4 linked regions of the Saccharomyces cerevisiae S288C genome follow. The gene in region 4 interacts genetically with the main gene of each other region. Each region holds a gene or a part of one and is shown on either strand. Other genes may lie near its edges.

Region 1 (4,279 bases), on a different chromosome or scaffold from region 4:
TATTCGCAAGCAATTTTTTTATTTGCAAAGCTTTGAAACTGTTCGTCTTTTTGTGACTGGCATTTGGCATGGGAAATGAATTTCCACGTAATTGTCTTTGATGTTTAACTTCTTGAACCAATTTTTCACTAATAATTGGATTGAATATTGAATCGTTATTGCTGGATTTCCCCTCAAAAAAAGAGGCCTCTACTCCTCTAAGCGTCGTGCGCTCCATGGTTCTATTGGTTGGTGGACTCATCGGCGGTGTGACGGGAGGAGTAATACTCCATGCATTGTTGGAAAGATCTTTAAATTGATCTTTAGCTTCTAGAATCGAAGGAATTAGTTTGGTACGATCAAATGATTCCTTAGACGGGGAATGGAACTTGGACGACCTAGTCGATTCCAATTCCTTGCCGTAATTGAAACTATCATTATTTTGATTATTAGTTAAGTTGGGTATACTTAATGGCTTGAAATGAGCCACTTCTTCGCGTATTTTAACATAGTCTTGATAGTTTGTATCCTTACACCAATGGGTAAGATCAGTTTTCCAATTAGATGTACGTTTTGATGTATCAGGGAAGCGTGCTGCGTTTTCTTGTAAAAGAGGACTGGGTAATAATTGCAGATGCCTTAGTGATGGTAGGCTTTGTTGTGGGCGCTCCGGTCTCTTAGATAAAGAGACGGACGATAGCCTGTCTAACAATGGTAGTCGAGGTTGTGAATTAGAGGAAAAACCTAAGCCAGACCCATAGTTCAATGGATTTGTAAAACTAATCTGAGATAAGCTTGCCTTGTTGAATTCTGGTGAATTGCCTGGTGTTAATGAGGAAATTGGATTGTAATCCATATGATGTGGCGATGCTGGTGCAGTATTTGATTTTTTTCCAAGTATTTCGTTAGCCAAAGATATTGGGGAAAGAATTGGCGACACATTGAGCGAATGAAACGAATACTTCCTAGGACTTGCTGAATTTATATTGTTATCGGTTGTGATATTGTTCCTGCTGATATTACTGGATAAATTGGAAAATGAAGGCAATAAAAGATTGTCATAATAGGAGCTATTTGCATGAGAATCCGGACCAGCAGATAATGCATGCAGTGGTGTTTTGATGTATAAGCTTGACATTTTTTTGCTTTTCCCGTTATGAGAAATGTTTTTTTTAGACTGAAAATAAAAGAATGGATAGTATTAAAATAGTAATGAACGTAATAAGGATAGGACAGGAGCGATAGGAAAAGATAGAATTTTGGAGCTTTTTTTCCCTCTTTTTTTGAGCAGGAGCCAATAGTAGTCGGAAAGATGAGTGTATAGATTTTTCGTATTTTATTTCGAGTAAAAATATCACGCTCTTAGGTTCAATAAAAGAATATACTATTTCTTCAAAATGCTTCTCTAATCTATTTTTTTATTTTCCTTAATAACTGAAATATTATTTTTTGATGTAAAATGAGTGAACAAGAATAAAGGATTTTTGGTATGTTTGCAAGTTCTGTGGAGTTCCATGTATAAGGTATACATATTAGAAAAGCTTTACGATTATATACTAACATCATGTACAAAACAGTTTAATAATGATCTGTATTGCTGGCTCAATCCACGTAAGGAAAATGATCAGCCCAATCCTCAAAAATAAAATGGCCCTTCCAAAATTAGAGACATATCGTAGAAATCAGACGCACGCTTGGCGTCAATATCCTAAAACGGAAAACTAATCAGTTAGATGTGTCTTTTTTAGGTAAAAAAAGGCAACCAACTTTTTGCTGGCTAGCGATGCGACAATAAACGCGCGCAGCGAATAAAAATAAGATGGCGGAGGAGCAGAGACTTCTTTTCTTAGAAGAGGTTTTGTTACCGTATGGGGGTATGATGGTTAGATGGCTGAATAAAAACGTTAATTAAAGGAATACAGAAGAGGAAGCGCCCCGATTTCTTTTCTGTTCCACATGAAAGCAGCCGGTTGGGTGGTAGATCTCTAATGACATCCAAACTACAAAACCGAGATTGGACATATAGCACACTCTGCATTTCTACTTTCCTTTCTCCCTACAGTTTGCTCGATCTGAACCGATGCTTCTTTGATTGGACAAGATGATAGACCATGACTCCCTGTATGTATTGCAGAGATTGCCACTACTAACCAAGAAAAGTTGAACGTGTCGTACGTATAAAACGATTTATGCTTAGGCTTTACTGAAAAAAAAAAAGTAAAAAGAGGATGCGCAAACGCATAGAGCAAGTAACTAACCTGTTTTTATAGTATATACTTGGCCCCACCAGGCTGATCGTCAGGCAAAACGCCAAACTAATAACAGTAATAACAGAAATATGAACACCAATAGTAATACTATGGTAATGAATGACGCAAATCAAGCACAAATAACGGCCACATTTACGAAGAAGATATTAGCGCATTTGGATGATCCGGACTCCAACAAATTGGCCCAATTCGTACAGCTTTTTAATCCAAACAACTGCAGAATAATATTTAATGCTACCCCCTTCGCGCAAGCAACAGTTTTTCTGCAAATGTGGCAAAACCAGGTCGTACAAACACAACATGCCCTAACAGGAGTAGACTATCACGCTATTCCGGGATCCGGCACGTTGATATGCAACGTCAATTGCAAAGTCAGATTCGACGAAAGCGGCAGAGACAAGATGGGGCAAGACGCGACTGTTCCCATTCAACCAAATAACACTGGGAACAGAAATCGACCCAACGATATGAACAAGCCAAGACCTCTATGGGGTCCATATTTTGGCATTTCCCTGCAGCTGATCATCGACGACCGCATATTTAGAAATGATTTTAATGGTGTAATATCGGGGTTTAACTATAACATGGTTTACAAACCCGAGGATTCTCTGCTAAAAATTTAGTGGGAAGATTCCGCTCTACCAGGGAAAAACAAAATTATATAGAAAAGAAGGTAAGTAATAAGTAATACGAAAAAACCCAAAAAAAAAATTCAAATACCCCAACCCTGTGCCCTTTCTATTTTTATGGTTGAAAAGGTTACAGAGGATCCTCTGGAGCGGTGACAACAGTTGACGCAATCATGGTCCCTGGCGGTCCCTAAGGATATCTCGGAGGAACCGAGGCACGGAAACGGCTGCACGGGTACGCCAGATAAGGATAATTCAGCCGTCACGCATGAACAGAAGGATGAGCATTTGCTCACCTTCCTGGACTTAACTTGCGTGAATGAAAAGAAGAACACCAATGTTAGAGTAGGGCTTCGCACCAAACTTTAATCAAGAAATCTGAGGAGAAATGATTCTAAGTCTAGCCACGAAAACTGCAAAGCGCACCAAAAGTAAGAAACGACAAAGTTTTTCTAGCATTTTTTTGTTTCATCAAGAGAAGAAACACGATTTATATAACTGTTACCGCTAAAACCTACATCTAAACTTTTTAATATCTGAAAGCGCTAGTCGTGTGTACCCCCCTCAACTGATCAACTGGTCAACGAGCTTTACTTGTGGAAGTTCATGGCAAACGCTCCTTGGCTTTTGCCTAGTCTTGTTCTATGGCACATTTTTCTGTTGAGTTACACCCCGCGTGCTAAAAAAGGGGTGAACCATCAGAAAGCTTATTACTGAGTTTTGCGGAGCATCGCTCGGAGCGGCGGAATTGAATCGAACCGCCGTGCTATTACCGAACAAAAAAATTCGAAAGCATAAACTCAGTAGTGAAAAACTTGAGAATTTTCAGATGAGTGGCGACTTTCCAGTCCTTGCGGTTTTGTCACCTTAGTCAGCTAGTAAGGAGGCCGTGTGGGTTAGAGTGGCTACAATCCTCAAAGGGCACTTCTAGAACCCACGGTGAATTTTTTTTGGCATGATAAATCGGTAGAATCGGTGAAGTAATTACCCAAAAAAGGATCGGGATTGTGTTTCTCGTAATTCCGTATTATTGCCGATGGCATCGACTACTTCTTTTTTCAGAAACCCCAACAAGGGTCTATTGTAATTGTATATAAACCTTTTTGTAATGGATATATACATGTGGTACTATTTCTCCTCATCCTGCTCCATCGAAAATCCTCATACGAAGAGTTAGGAAAGCAAAGAAAACAACAAAAACATGAGGATCGAAAAGCACCGTACCCCCCTGTCGAAGGGAATTATTTGGACGATATTGTCTGTGTGCCTTTTATTCATGTTCACCACACTGATATTGGTTATTGTAGCCACTGCTGGCTCCACCGCCAACTACAAACCCTTAACGAATATATACATCGGTGAAGCCGATATCAAACACATCAATGTAAGCAAGGTGATCCC
Region 2 (4,652 bases), on a different chromosome or scaffold from region 4:
TCTTTTGCGGACAACGTCTTCTCCTTCATGCTTAAATTTGTTCAGCAGTTCAATTTCGAATAGTTGATTATTGGGAGGAAACTCATCGAATTGTGAGAATGTTGGTATACCGAATTGTCCTTTGGATACTTGAGCTTGTTTTTGATCATTTCCCGTCGCGCAGCAATAAGCCTTACCTAAATTAGATAGCAACACCAGATGATGGCTACCAGCGTCAAATTGTACTACACGTTTTTCTCCTTCCTTACCGTTGAAAATCTGATTTGTTTGTAATTTCCAATCATATCTTAGTTTTGTCTTCCATGGCAACAATTTCGACCTTCTTGATGATACTTGCGAAGCTATCAGATCCGGCGTTCTTATAGGTATGACCAATATTTCACCCTTTTTATTCAAAGCGTACAAAAAGTGACTAGAATACTTCATTGAGGTCAAATCTTGATCTGGCAATATCGTTTTTGTTTGTCCCAAATCATCCCACGATATCAAATCGCCTTTCTCGTCAATTGCAAAATTGGTGTTGAAATCGTCAGAGGGAGCTAATAGGATATCTCTGAATTTACGACCATCCAAATTAGGTACTCTAACAGGGAACAATGAGTCCTTAGAATGACACCTTCCCCATATGTATACACCAGGATGATCTATTCCAAGTTGAAAGGCAGGCACTTGAGGAATCTCCCTTAATAGATTTTTGGCCTTTTGTCTGATCAATTTTTCCAACGAATCCTGTCCACTTTGCTCTTGCGTTGCATTTATGCGACCGCCATTCATCTTGATTAACCACCAGGATTTTAATTCTGGCCAACGCAAGTAGGCCGTTCCCAACCCACCCACTACCACGAGAATGAGGATCCCTTGCCCAACAGCAGATAATTTCGCCATCCTTTCCCATTGGAGTTCAGATTCCTTTGTGATCTGATCAGGAGACTTCTCAGGCCATTGGAAATGCTCGTCTGATGGCCTTTTCTTTGCTTTATATGCGCCATGGTTAATGTTCTCTGCAAACAACTCTGCTTCATCGTATTGAGGTTGTTTGGCGTATCGCCTGATGGGACTAACCCAGTTAAGGCGAGGGAGACGTTGAGAAGTCCTCGTGAATAATCTGAATGACATTAGCGGCGCACGTCCCTGTTATCGATTGCTCCCTTTCTTGTTAGACGCATTCAACAATTCTTCGTTACTGCAGCTCAGGCTTTTTTTTTTCCTGCTGGTATACAAAAAGCAACAGTGTCCATTGACTTCAGGATATATCACTACCCAACATGCTGAACTTTAAAAAAACACATAATTATATGTATTACAATAATGTATAAATATATTTACTGTTTAATAAACTAGAATTTAAATCAAAAAAATTTCTCTTTTAAGTTAGTTCAAATGTTTGAAAAGAACTTAAGCTTGAGCAGCAAAGTATTCTGGGAATTCTCTGATGTTGTTTTCCAAAGAACCCTTCTTGGACAAGAACTTAACGAAAGCACCGTCGTCCTTGACTTCACCAGCTTCTCTCTTCTTCAAGTATTCTGGTCTGTCCAAGTTGGTGAAACCCCACTTCTTAGACAAAATAATCTTTTGTTGACCTGGGAACTTGTATCTGGCTCTTCTCAAACCTTCAACGACAACATCCTTGTTGCTGTCCTTGGTTCTGACAGAGAAGATAATTTGACCAATGTCGACACGAGCGGCCAAACCGTGTGGCTTACCCCAAGCACCTCTCATACCTTGTTGCAATCTATCCGCACCGGCACAAGACAACATCTTGTTGATTCTCAAGACATGGAAAGGATGGACTCTGACTCTTAAGTGGAAAGCATCTCTACCGGAGACAGTAGTCATGTACTTGTTGGCACAGATACGAGCAGCTTCCAAAGCTTCAGAAGACAATTGTTCCAATTCGTTGGAAACCAAATGGACACACAATGGGAATTCATCGACGGTAGCCTTCTTCTTACCCAAATCGTAGATTCTGATCTTGGAGTCTGGAACAGCTCTGTTGTATCTAGACTTTGGGTAAGGCTTGTTCTTTTGGTATCTGTAACATCTAGCTGGTCTTCTAGCCATCTTGAATTAGTTATTTGATATACTGTACTTTAAAGTTTGAAAGTCCCACTCCAAAAGCACTTGCGGAAAGGATGTATAAATGGTTGCTCCACATCAACATCTTTTTATAAACTATTCTCTAGAGAAACCAAACTGACCATCAATTCTGAGATGAAAAGTTTCCTTAGTCAGCATTATTGTGCTAACTAGTTTCGGAGGGAAAAATATCGAAAAAAAAAAACCAAAAAAAAAAATAAAAAAAATGTACGGAGGGAAAAGATGTACAGGTGTAAAAAAGCACCCCACGGAAATAACCGCTACTATAATTTCATTTCTTTTTTTTCTATATCCTGCGGAAAATTTTTTTATACTGACAGGGGAAAAAGCAAATTAATTTTGCTTTTATATATGGAAAGTAGCGGGAGATGAGATGAGGTGAATTGAAAGGCAGTTAAACACACAGACAAGTGAAGATAAAACAATAGCGCATCATGGGTAGATATTCGGTGAAGAGATACAAGACTAAAAGAAGAACACGAGACTTGGACCTGATCTATAACGATTTGTCCACCAAGGAATCAGTACAGAAGCTTCTGAACCAGCCATTGGATGAAACCAAACCGGGCCTTGGTCAGCACTATTGCATACACTGTGCCAAATACATGGAGACTGCTATAGCGTTAAAAACGCATTTAAAGGGCAAAGTGCACAAAAGAAGAGTCAAGGAGTTGAGGGGTGTCCCTTACACACAAGAAGTCTCTGATGCTGCTGCGGGCTACAATTTGAACAAGTTCTTGAACCGTGTACAGGAGATCACGCAATCGGTGGGTCCGGAGAAGGAAAGTAATGAGGCCTTGCTGAAGGAGCATTTGGACAGTACCTTGGCAAACGTCAAAACAACAGAACCTACTCTACCGTGGGCGGCTGCTGATGCCGAGGCGAATACCGCTGCCGTAACAGAGGCAGAGTCTACTGCCTCAGCCAGTACTTAACAGTAAAGTAAAGATCAGAACCAAAAATAGGCATATACACTTTTTATAGTATAACACACTTCCAGTCAACTCGAATCGCTTTTGCCGCGAAACGCAATGAAAAAAAGTACGCAACAAAGAGAAATAATGAAAAAAAAAAGAAAAAATTTTTTCATTGCTAGGCGATGAGCATCGACAGTTTTATACGTAAATCAATGGTTAGATAGATAATATTAATAACATACAAGACAATTTTTGCTTCGATTAAAGTGTTGGCACGAATTATTGTTGCGGTTCACCAACCACTATACATTTTTTCTCTTCCTTCCGCATCTTTATCTGGCCCCGGTAGGTCATGAAGTCTAGTAAGCAATTGGTTCAGGACGCTAAGGATTATCGCTTCAATCCGGCGATACCATTGAGAATTTACCTGAAAACATGCATCGGCATATTGGAAAAGGCACAGTGTGCGTTCCAGGCCAACGACTTGTCGCTGTCGTTTATTTATTATTTTAGATATGTGGATTTATTGACTAACAAACTATCTAGACACCCTGAGCTTTTGCGCATGGATGCGTCGTCGTCATCGTCGTCATCGTATATTCATAAAAGAGAATACCTGCAACTCATAAAGTTGGAAGTGCCTGCGGTCTGCAAAATTATTGAAAGCTTACGCACCCAAATTGATTCTCAATACAGCAAATTGCAAACATCACTCGCTAATAATATAGCCAAGCCGAACATAAACGCAAACACAACTCCCGTGCAGGTGGAGCAACAACCACTGCCGAAGAAATCTTTCGACGAGTATAGCTTCAACCAATCAATTTCTTTTTTCCAGAAAATTTCAAACGCACAACTTAATACCGGAGCAAGCTCTCAGAGTCAGGCCACTGCCCGTGATGAAGCCTACAGACTGAATTATCCGGAGCTACCACGCCTTACATTCTCCACATAGCATCCTTTTTTTTTTTTTTTTTCCATACCATACGAACATACATAACCTTACATACAATATTACATGATTACTCTGTTACAACACGTCTCCCCTTCTTGGTCTTGACCATTGTACTTTGGCTGGTATGTCCAATAGAGTCGCGTGCGCTACAACTTCGTCCTTGTGGGTCATGAGGTTCGTCAGCTTATCCATCTTCTTGTTCAACTTCATTAAATACAGCAGATTTAACACCAAGAGCACCAAGATTATTATGTTCACCCAGTTAAACCTCCATCTGTCGCTGCCTATTTCTGAGATTTCCGCCTCAGCTTCTGGTTTCGACTCCGGCTGTACCATCGTCAGCTCCGGTGCTGCCACTTTCCTAGGTGATCCAAAAGATGTAACACTGGGCAACGGCTTGAGTGTATCTGCTTTTTCTTTGCTCAATTCCACGTATTTCTCTACAAATTCTTCGACTAACTTTACCAAGTCCTTAGTGGCGCTAATTTGTCCATTTTTACAATTGCTCTCTACCATTGGCTTGATCCAACTGGATGCGTTCCAGTCCACCCAAAAACTTATTTTTAATATGCAACCTTGCCCCTGGTCATCCCATCGGAACATGTACCTCGTTCTGGTGCTGAAACTGGTACCACTAGGAACATTTGGTGTTCTTGTTATACTTAAAACATTTATGTACCTTT
Region 3 (5,470 bases), on a different chromosome or scaffold from region 4:
ACTAAACGGTGCCTTCTTCGTTGCAGGTGTTGCGTTTATTCAATCTCCACTCATGGACATGTTGGCCCCACAATTATAAGGGGTTGGTTCTTGTATAGTTGAGATTTTTTCACTTACCTGTATATATATTGGTTTTTGGGTTCTCAAAAGAATTTGTCAAATATGTTTATATTTTATTCCCGAATTATGTAGAGTTAGCAGTGTATATAATGGAAAAAAAGCAAGTATGCTTTACATTTAGTATTCCTTTTAACGCAAGCCTTTTGTATACGGGCTGTTTACTGTTCACCGGAAAGCCGTGACAAAAGAGAGTGACAAAGGTATCGAAATCACAAGGTATATGCTGTGTTTGTATTTATATAAGCTTGCCTCACAAGTAAAAGTGGATCAACAAACTGAGAAGAAACAAATGGGACCCATTGATGTCGTAATAATATATTCATTGGTGTATGAAATTAGATTAAAGCTTTTACGTATTTTGAGGTATTATGTACTGAATTCTAATCCTTTAACACTTTCTTAACTATTTTTTCGACTTCATCCCAATCATCCGTTGGAACACGAGTCATTTCTATATCACCGAAGTATTTCTGAATTGCAGATAAAATATTGAAAGAATTTTTGTCATGTACAAAGGAAATGGCAACACCTTTTCTGCCGAATCTACCGGTTCTACCGATTCTGTGAATGTAAGTAGCTGGATCTGCTTGTCCGTTAGCAAGCGTTGGAAGATCATAGTTGACAACCATTGAGACAGTAGGAATATCAATACCACGGGCCAGGACATTAGTAGTAATCAAAACTTTGGATCTACCCTCTCTGAAGTCGTCTATTAATCTGTCTCTTTCTTGTGTCTGTAAATCACCATGCAAGATAGAAACTTCATGACCTTCACTTTTCAATTTCCCATATAAAACGTTTGCGGTTTTTTTGGTTGCAACAAAAATAATGGAAGATCCAATTGTCATTAAACCATATAGCTCAGTTAAAACATCAAACTTATCTGCTTCGTTTTTGCAGTCCATGTATAGTTGTTTGATGGCATCAACATTAACTTCATTTGTTTGTAATTCTAAAGTATTAGCATTTGGAACGATCTTCTTTGCGTACTGCCTAACTGCATCGGCAAAAGTAGCACTAAACAAAACAAGTTGAGTATCCTTGGGTAAAAATCTCTTAACACGAATACACTGGTCACCTAGACCCTGCTGATCCAACATGTTATCGGCTTCATCCAAAACAAAAATTTTAATTTTCTGTAGCTGCATCAATTTTCTACGCATTAGGTCAAGAACAGTGCCCGGCGTACCAACAATCACTTGAGCATTAATTTGCTTGTTTTTCTCAAAAGAATCGGGAACAATTAACTGACTGGTTATTTTTGTGAACTTACCCATTTCCTGAACGACTTCTAGTGTTTGTCTGGCCAGTTCTCTGGAGGGGGCTAAGCAAATTGCCTGTGGAGATGCGTCTTCTGGGTTTACTCTTGTTAGCATCGTTAAAGAAAAGGCGGCAGTTTTACCTGTACCTGATTGAGACTGAGCAATCATGTTCCTAGGCGGATTATGTAATAATAATGGCAGCGCCCTTTCTTGAATTTTGGATGGTTTTTGAAATTTCATAGCATATATCCCCTTTAGTAGTTCTGGTGCTAATCCTAATTCATCAAAAGATTTAGCACTGTACAATGGAGAATTTGGGTCAGCCTGGATATCAGCAAGTTTGACCTTAACTTCATATTCTGAGCTGATTAAATTACTATCCTCCTGTTTTGTTTTTTTTTCCTCAACTTTTGGAACTAATTTTTCTGCAGGCTTGATCGAATCAGCAGTCTTTTCTGGTTGGGACTTAACAGTCTCTTTTGTTGAAACTTCACTTGTATCCTCTTTCTCATTATCAATCTTTAAAGAAGCTAGTAAATCGGCCGGATCTCTCTTTGTATCACTCATTCCGATCTAAGGTGGTAAGTATTTTTATAGATGTTCTTGGTTGCTGATCGAGTATTTTATGGTGTATAAAGGTCAACTGGTTTTAAAGGTAATGCAAATTTTGCAATGCTTTGCTTGATTGAAAAATTTGCATACGGGTAATACCGCGTTGATAATAATGTAACAATCAAATAATCAAGACAACAGCAGAGTTATTCTTTAAATACGATATATATGGGAGTATCATCATATTTAAATGTTGATTTTTTTGGGTTTTTTTTTTGGGCAATTTTAGAGCAGTAGGCTTAAAATATATTAAAATTATTAAAGGTATTACTTAATCTTAAAGGTCGTCGAAATCTATAATAGTACGTGTATCAAACACTTTTGTAATTAATATTAATGTCGTTAAGTGGTTAAATAGTGGGGTATTTCGTTTTTGCGTTGTTGTAAAAATTTACTAGGACATTCCATCAGGCTTCCAATCTAACCCCAACCTTTGATAAACCTGTGTTTGGCATTGAAACCAGATGGCAGCCCTCTCCTCTGAAGTTAGAGAAACCTTATTAACGACATTTTTCTGTGTACCAGCACCTAATGTCTTAGCATCATTTTTATAATTTTTTAGTTGCAAATTTTTCATTAAAGCCTTTTTTAAAAGACTACCAGAGTTAGTGCAGTCATGTATTTTAAAACCATGCGGTATGAGGCTTGGAGGCGGCATGTCAGGCCTTTTCAAATTTGAATTTAGTAATTTCCATCTCTTGTATTCGGAGCGCTTTTGTTTAAAGTCATATCTGCATTGGGCCTCGACGGCAACATTTAATAAATAGTTCTCAATTATATTTCTCCATTCAGGCTTTGATAGACGCATAATGGGTTCCTTTGACCCAGTCATTTCTTCATGTCTTTTTCTTGCTGATGCAACTGTATATTTTGCGCTTGTCAACTTAAAATTGCGGTCTAGATTTGCTTCTATGTATAAGTCTGAGTTAACCAATGTCGCTATTATAAACTCATCACTGGAACTTAGGGGAAGTAATTGTAGTCTGAATTGCGGTAAGTTTATACCGGAGGTCACTACCGTCGGTAACTGGGAACCCCATTCTGGCCTTAATTGTTCCACAATTAACAAGGATCGTATATCGTTTAGATCCCAGTCCAGCAATTCGCGCTTTGTAAACTTAGGACGTCCGTTATAAAGTATATTTGCTGGATCAGACATCAGAACTTCGGGAGAATACATATCATAGAATGTTTTGGGTAAAGCGTCTTCAAGTGTTACTTCTGTGACGAACTTAGGTGTTTTTGTATCAATTAACGAGCTGCCTGTGGTGATGTCCGTAAGAGCAGTAGATGGCTGTGAAAATATACTCGATTCGTATGAAGATGAATGGTCTGAAACAAAACTTTGACTGTCCGGGGTATTTATGTGTTGGATATTTGCATTTTCTGCAGTATTACTGTTCACTTCCATAGGTTTAGTTCCTGCAGTAGGCAATAACCTTTTTATGATTTCTATTCTTGCCCTGTCTGCATATTCTGGTGGTGTAGTAACAAAATTGTTGTTGCTCCTAACATTTCCTGAATTGGAACTCAAATTATAGTGATTTGGTGTGTTTATTTCTTGGTTATTATGTGGAAGATTGCTGTTGAATCCAATAGAAGGAACGCTATTTGTCATTTCTGTGTCAGCGTTGGGTTGAACATTCTTTGGATTTTCGTCATGTCTTTTCGATTTTCTTTTCCCTAATACTTGGTTCCTCGCTGTTGCTGGAGGTGGTGAAACAAACATCTCGTTTTATTTGTCTGTTAAGTAGTGCAAAACCTCCTACAATCGCGATGGTAACGAAAATGATAGGTAAATGAGAGCTTCTAATATATTAAACTGGTTTCCTACGGTACGATATTTCTTGAAGCCTTTCTTCTCCTCTATTTAGTTCGAAAACGTCCCTCTCTCGTTAACTCAAAAGAAAATTTACTAAACTATAACTCTGTCTTTTAATAACTCCTGGAATTTTTCCGTTATGGAACTAAGAGCAGCCTTCGCTAAAAGATTTTCCGTGTTTTCAAAAGGAAGGGAAAAAATTGGACAAAAACCCGCGTACGAAAATTTTCCTGCTTAGCTCAGTCGGATTTATTGAAAACTTTATTTCATTTTTCCACAACATCCCACATTACCCGATTGTTTGTTGCAAGATTTTTTGAAGAGGACGCTTGCATATTGGCCAAGGAGGAAGTGTAAGATGTGCTTTCGTGACTTGAGCGAAGGGGTTGGCGTTGTATAGCATGAACTTCCCAATATGTTGCATTCATCCCTGGATGATAACAGACCAAAGACCAAATTTGATTTTAAGTTTAGGAACTTAGAAAAAAAAGGTAGTGCCGTATTCGAAACTTTCGCCGTGGACTGCCTCTCTTTTCAAAAAAGAAGAACAGACCATGCTTTTTCTCCTGGATCTGGAAGAAAAAATACACGAAGCGTATAAATCAAAATAGAGTTCGGTCTATTGGCTTACAAGGATTTCGCTATTTTACAAGAGGACGTATATTCATATATTCATGCTTCAGCATGATTTTCTCTTAACTTAATATGTTCCATTTTTTGTTATAAAATATTACTGTTCGTCGTTTGTAAGAGCAGACACTATTATCTTAAAAGAGCTTTTTTTTAATTGTATGAAGATTTTATAAATTTGCGAAAACCTAAATTTACCATAAAATAAAATGCGCACGAGTAGTTCTAACGCCTATTTGCTCTTGAATTGTCATACCGACTTTGCTTGTTATTCCGAGAGTAGCTGTTGCCGCTGTACTGTCCACTATTTCTATTTCCGGAATAGTTATTGTTCCTGTAATTTGAATTTTGTCTGTAATTATTGTTTCCACCATCATACCTGCTATTGTTGAAGCCGGGTTGACTGTTGTAGCTATTCCTACCATAGTTGTGGGCGGGTTGGACATTATTTCTACTGAGCTCAGCAAAATAAAAGAATGCTCGATAGCCACCAGTTCTTGGTTTGTACTGAGTAATACCCTTTGGTCCTACTGGAACAATATTTTGCTTCAAATCATTACCAAAGTTCCAGCGACGGGAGTAATTTTGGTTATTATACTTGTACATTATGGAATCAAGGTCATATGCTGTTAGTACCGGTTCTGACGGAATGAACCCGTTCAGTATAATAGACTTATTTCTCGATGGCAACGGAATTAATCTATAGGACATCTTTAAAATCAAGGTGGTAGATAAATTTGGCAGTGACCCACCTTGAATCGGACATACAATTTTCCCATTTAATTCGAAACCTTCAACGTCCTTTGATACAATACCACTTAAACCACTCTTGAAGTGTTGAAACTTCACAACAACATTGTTGTTGTTGTTTTCCTTTGAGTATAATTTCTTCGAAAACCTCTCATAATTAGCATTCTTGTTACTTATTAATAAAACAGGTTCTCCGCGAATATTTCTTGCCCTCTCAGCATCAGAAAGTAAAGGATATTGTGCACGAACAGCTGTTAACAGTCTATCCTGATCG
Region 4 (4,435 bases):
TTTCAAAATGGCTTACGGAATCCTTAAGAGCTATGAAAATTACTCAGCCAACCGCTATCCAAAAGGCTTGTATTCCCAAAATCTTAGAAGGAAGAGATTGTATTGGTGGTGCCAAGACTGGTTCTGGTAAAACTATTGCATTTGCAGGGCCTATGCTGACTAAATGGTCCGAAGATCCGTCAGGGATGTTTGGAGTGGTCTTGACCCCAACCAGAGAGTTAGCCATGCAAATTGCCGAACAATTTACTGCACTTGGTAGCAGTATGAACATTCGCGTGTCAGTTATAGTTGGTGGTGAAAGCATCGTTCAGCAGGCATTGGATTTACAAAGGAAGCCGCACTTTATTATTGCCACGCCTGGACGTCTGGCACATCATATCATGAGCAGCGGAGATGATACCGTTGGAGGGCTAATGAGAGCTAAATATTTAGTTCTAGATGAAGCCGATATTTTGCTAACTAGCACGTTTGCCGATCATTTAGCAACATGTATAAGTGCTCTACCTCCCAAGGATAAGAGACAAACACTTCTATTCACTGCAACTATAACGGACCAAGTAAAGTCGTTACAAAATGCACCAGTGCAGAAAGGGAAACCCCCATTGTTCGCTTACCAAGTAGAAAGTGTAGATAATGTGGCTATTCCATCGACGTTGAAAATAGAGTATATCTTGGTTCCAGAACACGTCAAAGAAGCATATTTGTACCAATTATTAACATGCGAGGAATATGAGAATAAAACCGCTATAATATTTGTAAATAGAACAATGACCGCGGAGATCCTTAGAAGAACCCTGAAGCAGTTGGAAGTGAGGGTAGCGTCGTTGCACTCTCAAATGCCCCAACAGGAAAGAACAAATTCCTTACATAGATTTCGAGCTAACGCTGCAAGAATCCTCATCGCTACAGATGTAGCATCCAGAGGTTTGGATATCCCAACTGTTGAGCTTGTAGTGAATTACGATATACCTTCAGACCCAGATGTATTCATCCATAGATCTGGTCGTACGGCCCGTGCTGGCAGAATTGGTGACGCCATATCATTCGTTACCCAGCGAGATGTTTCTAGGATACAGGCCATTGAGGACCGTATCAACAAGAAGATGACAGAGACAAACAAGGTACACGATACCGCTGTAATAAGAAAAGCCTTGACCAAGGTAACCAAGGCGAAGAGGGAATCGCTGATGGCAATGCAAAAGGAAAACTTCGGTGAGAGAAAAAGACAGCAAAAGAAGAAGCAAAATGACGGGAAAAGTTTGCGCTCTTGAAAAATTCTAAATAAGATTTAAAGACGTACATATCGTACAATCTGGATACTGTTTTCCAGGACAACTGATAGATACAATTTTGGCACATATGAAGTATGTTTCTATATAACGGGTGAGAAAATCGCTGTAAATTCAATTACGTACAATCACCGACGGGTAACTTATTTTTTTTTCTTTTTCTCTTGTAGTTGGAAAATTTTTTGAAGCTCATCGCATTGGAAAAGAAAAATTACTAGCAGTTGTGATGATTTAACTATGTTTTGAGGAACCTTGGCTTTATCTTTTATTTGTCGCCTGGTACATAACACTACATTTTATTGTCTAATAAACGTTGAGGAATTTGACAAAAGGATGGAATTCACACCTATAGATCCGCACCAGCACCAAAATGCTGCTACTCTTCTATGTTGTAACTGTGGTACCCCAATCGATGGGTCCACTGGGCTGGTTATGTGTTATGACTGTATCAAACTGACTGTGGACATTACTCAAGGTATTCCAAGAGAAGCGAACATTTCATTTTGCAGAAACTGTGAAAGATTTTTGCAACCACCTGGACAATGGATCAGAGCAGAATTAGAATCTAGAGAATTACTGGCCATTTGTTTGCGTCGTTTGAAGGGCCTAACAAAAGTCAGATTAGTGGATGCTTCATTCATTTGGACAGAACCCCATTCTAGACGTATTAGAATTAAACTTACCGTGCAGGGAGAAGCCATGACAAATACTATTATTCAGCAAACTTTCGAAGTAGAATACATTGTTATTGCGATGCAATGTCCAGACTGTGCCAGATCCTACACTACAAATACTTGGAGGGCTACTGTCCAAATTAGACAAAAAGTGCCTCACAAGAGAACATTTTTGTTTTTGGAACAACTGATTTTGAAACATAATGCTCATGTGGATACCATTTCCATTAGTGAAGCTAAGGACGGGTTGGATTTCTTCTATGCGCAAAAAAACCACGCAGTTAAGATGATTGATTTTTTGAACGCTGTTGTTCCGATTAAACATAAAAAGTCTGAAGAACTTATTTCTCAAGATACACATACTGGTGCATCTACTTATAAATTTTCATATTCTGTCGAGATTGTTCCTATCTGTAAAGATGACTTGGTCGTTTTACCAAAAAAACTGGCTAAATCTATGGGTAACATTTCTCAATTTGTTCTATGTTCTAAGATTTCTAACACTGTCCAGTTTATGGATCCGACTACTTTGCAAACCGCGGATCTGTCACCATCTGTGTACTGGAGGGCTCCATTCAACGCCCTGGCTGATGTGACCCAGTTGGTGGAGTTCATTGTTCTGGACGTGGATTCTACAGGTATAAGCAGGGGAAATCGTGTCTTAGCTGACATTACTGTTGCTAGAACGTCTGACTTGGGTGTTAATGACCAAGTCTACTACGTCAGGTCTCATCTCGGTGGTATTTGCCATGCAGGTGATAGTGTTATGGGTTATTTCATTGCAAACTCGAATTACAACTCAGATCTTTTTGATGGGTTAAATATCGATTATGTGCCTGATGTAGTTCTTGTGAAGAAATTGTATCAAAGAAAGAGCAAAAAGAGCAGACACTGGAAGTTAAAGAGAATGGCTAAGGAACACAAAGATATCGATGCATCCTTAGATTACAATTCAAGAGCTCAAAAGCAAGAAATGGAACGTGCAGAAAAGGACTACGAATTATTCTTACAAGAATTAGAAGAGGATGCTGAATTAAGACAAAGTGTTAACCTATACAAAAACCGCGAAGCAAATGTACCTCCTGAAGAGCATGAAATGGATGAAGACGAGGATGAAGACGCTCCACAAATCAACATTGATGAATTATTGGACGAGTTAGATGAAATGACATTAGAAGATGGAGTCGAGAACACACCCGTTGAATCTCAGCAGTAAAAAAACACCAAAGAATGGAGAGTAGTATATACTCTTAACAAACACTAGCATTTCAGTTTATCTATATACATATATATGGATGTAAAATGTACTTTATGGAAGAACAAGCCACCACATGTTGAAAACTAGATAGGCAAGCAAGATTTTTCATTTGTAGAGCTCTTACGCAAGATTTTTAAACTTCCGCTTTTTTAATCCATGAGATTCCTTTGGACACCCTTTCCGGCACGGCAAAACAAAAAAATTAAGGGAACTCATTATTTTACGATGCTACTTAGATAACTAAAGTTCATTATATTTCAACAAATATAAGATAATCAAGAATAAAATGTCGTCAGAAAGGGTCTTAAGTTATGCACCAGCTTTTAAATCATTTCTGGATACATCTTTTTTCCAAGAATTATCGAGATTGAAACTCGATGTTCTGAAATTAGATTCAACATGCCAACCACTTACTGTGAATCTAGATTTACACAACATTCCTAAATCTGCTGATCAAGTTCCATTATTCTTAACAAATAGAAGCTTTGAAAAACACAATAATAAGCGTACTAATGAAGTGCCTTTACAGGGCAGTATTTTCAATTTTAATGTATTAGACGAGTTTAAGAATCTTGATAAGCAACTATTTTTACATCAAAGAGCATTGGAATGCTGGGAAGATGGAATAAAGGATATCAATAAGTGTGTTTCTTTTGTGATTATTAGTTTTGCTGACCTAAAAAAGTACAGGTTTTATTACTGGTTAGGTGTTCCCTGTTTTCAAAGACCCTCTTCAACAGTTTTACATGTGCGGCCAGAGCCGAGTTTAAAAGGGCTGTTCTCAAAGTGTCAAAAATGGTTTGATGTCAATTACTCAAAATGGGTGTGTATACTGGATGCAGACGATGAAATAGTAAATTATGACAAGTGTATTATTCGAAAAACTAAAGTTTTGGCGATAAGGGACACTAGTACGATGGAAAACGTCCCTTCTGCTCTAACCAAAAATTTTCTCAGCGTGTTGCAATACGATGTTCCTGACTTGATAGATTTCAAACTATTAATTATTAGACAGAACGAAGGTAGCTTTGCATTAAATGCTACATTTGCTTCTATTGACCCACAATCATCCTCAAGTAACCCAGATATGAAAGTTTCTGGATGGGAAAGGAATGTGCAAGGTAAGCTAGCACCACGTGTTGTTGATTTAAGTTCATTGTTAGATCCTTTAAAAATTGCTGACCAATCCGTGGATTTAAATTTGAAGCTAATGA

What was found.
Region 1: mutations in NMD3 (region 4) and MTR2 are lethal when combined (synthetic lethality), as found in Saccharomyces cerevisiae (one study listed by BioGRID).
Region 2: of NMD3 (region 4) and RPL10, a mutation in one rescues a mutant of the other (synthetic rescue), as found in Saccharomyces cerevisiae (8 studies listed by BioGRID, with this or other methods).
Region 3: mutations in NMD3 (region 4) and DBP5 impair growth when combined (synthetic growth defect), as found in Saccharomyces cerevisiae (one study listed by BioGRID).

What each region holds. Positions count from the first base shown.
Region 1 is NC_001143.9:91,337-95,615, reverse strand, and holds MTR2 (Mtr2p), read left to right. Parts: upstream 1-2,317; coding exon 2,318-2,872; downstream 2,873-4,279. Other genes in the region: DNA-binding transcription repressor ASH1, read right to left, coding at 1-1,117; FAT3 (Fat3p), read left to right, coding at 4,080-4,279. UniProt on the Saccharomyces cerevisiae protein: Affects mRNA transport from the nucleus to the cytoplasm.
Region 2 is NC_001144.5:280,336-284,987, reverse strand, and holds RPL10 (60S ribosomal protein uL16 RPL10), read right to left. Parts: upstream 2,062-4,652; coding exon 1,396-2,061; downstream 1-1,395. Other genes in the region: FMP25 (Fmp25p), read right to left, coding at 1-1,116; BUD20 (Bud20p), read left to right, coding at 2,532-3,032; RFU1 (Rfu1p), read left to right, coding at 3,367-3,969; LAM6 (Lam6p), read right to left, coding at 4,045-4,652.
Region 3 is NC_001147.6:413,959-419,428, forward strand, and holds DBP5 (ATP-dependent RNA helicase DBP5), read right to left. Parts: upstream 1,950-5,470; coding exon 501-1,949; downstream 1-500. Other genes in the region: TOM6 (Tom6p), read left to right, coding at 1-79; STD1 (Std1p), read right to left, coding at 2,389-3,723; ssRNA exonuclease RAT1, read right to left, coding at 4,672-5,470. UniProt on the Saccharomyces cerevisiae protein: ATP-dependent RNA helicase associated with the nuclear pore complex and essential for mRNA export from the nucleus. May participate in a terminal step of mRNA export through the removal of proteins that accompany mRNA through the nucleopore complex.
Region 4 is NC_001140.6:442,206-446,640, forward strand, and holds NMD3 (ribosome-binding protein NMD3), read left to right. Parts: upstream 1-1,622; coding exon 1,623-3,179; downstream 3,180-4,435. Other genes in the region: ATP-dependent RNA helicase DBP8, read left to right, coding at 1-1,271; ATG7 (Atg7p), read left to right, coding at 3,508-4,435. UniProt on the Saccharomyces cerevisiae protein: Acts as an adapter for the XPO1/CRM1-mediated export of the 60S ribosomal subunit. Unlikely to play a significant role in nonsense-mediated mRNA decay (NMD).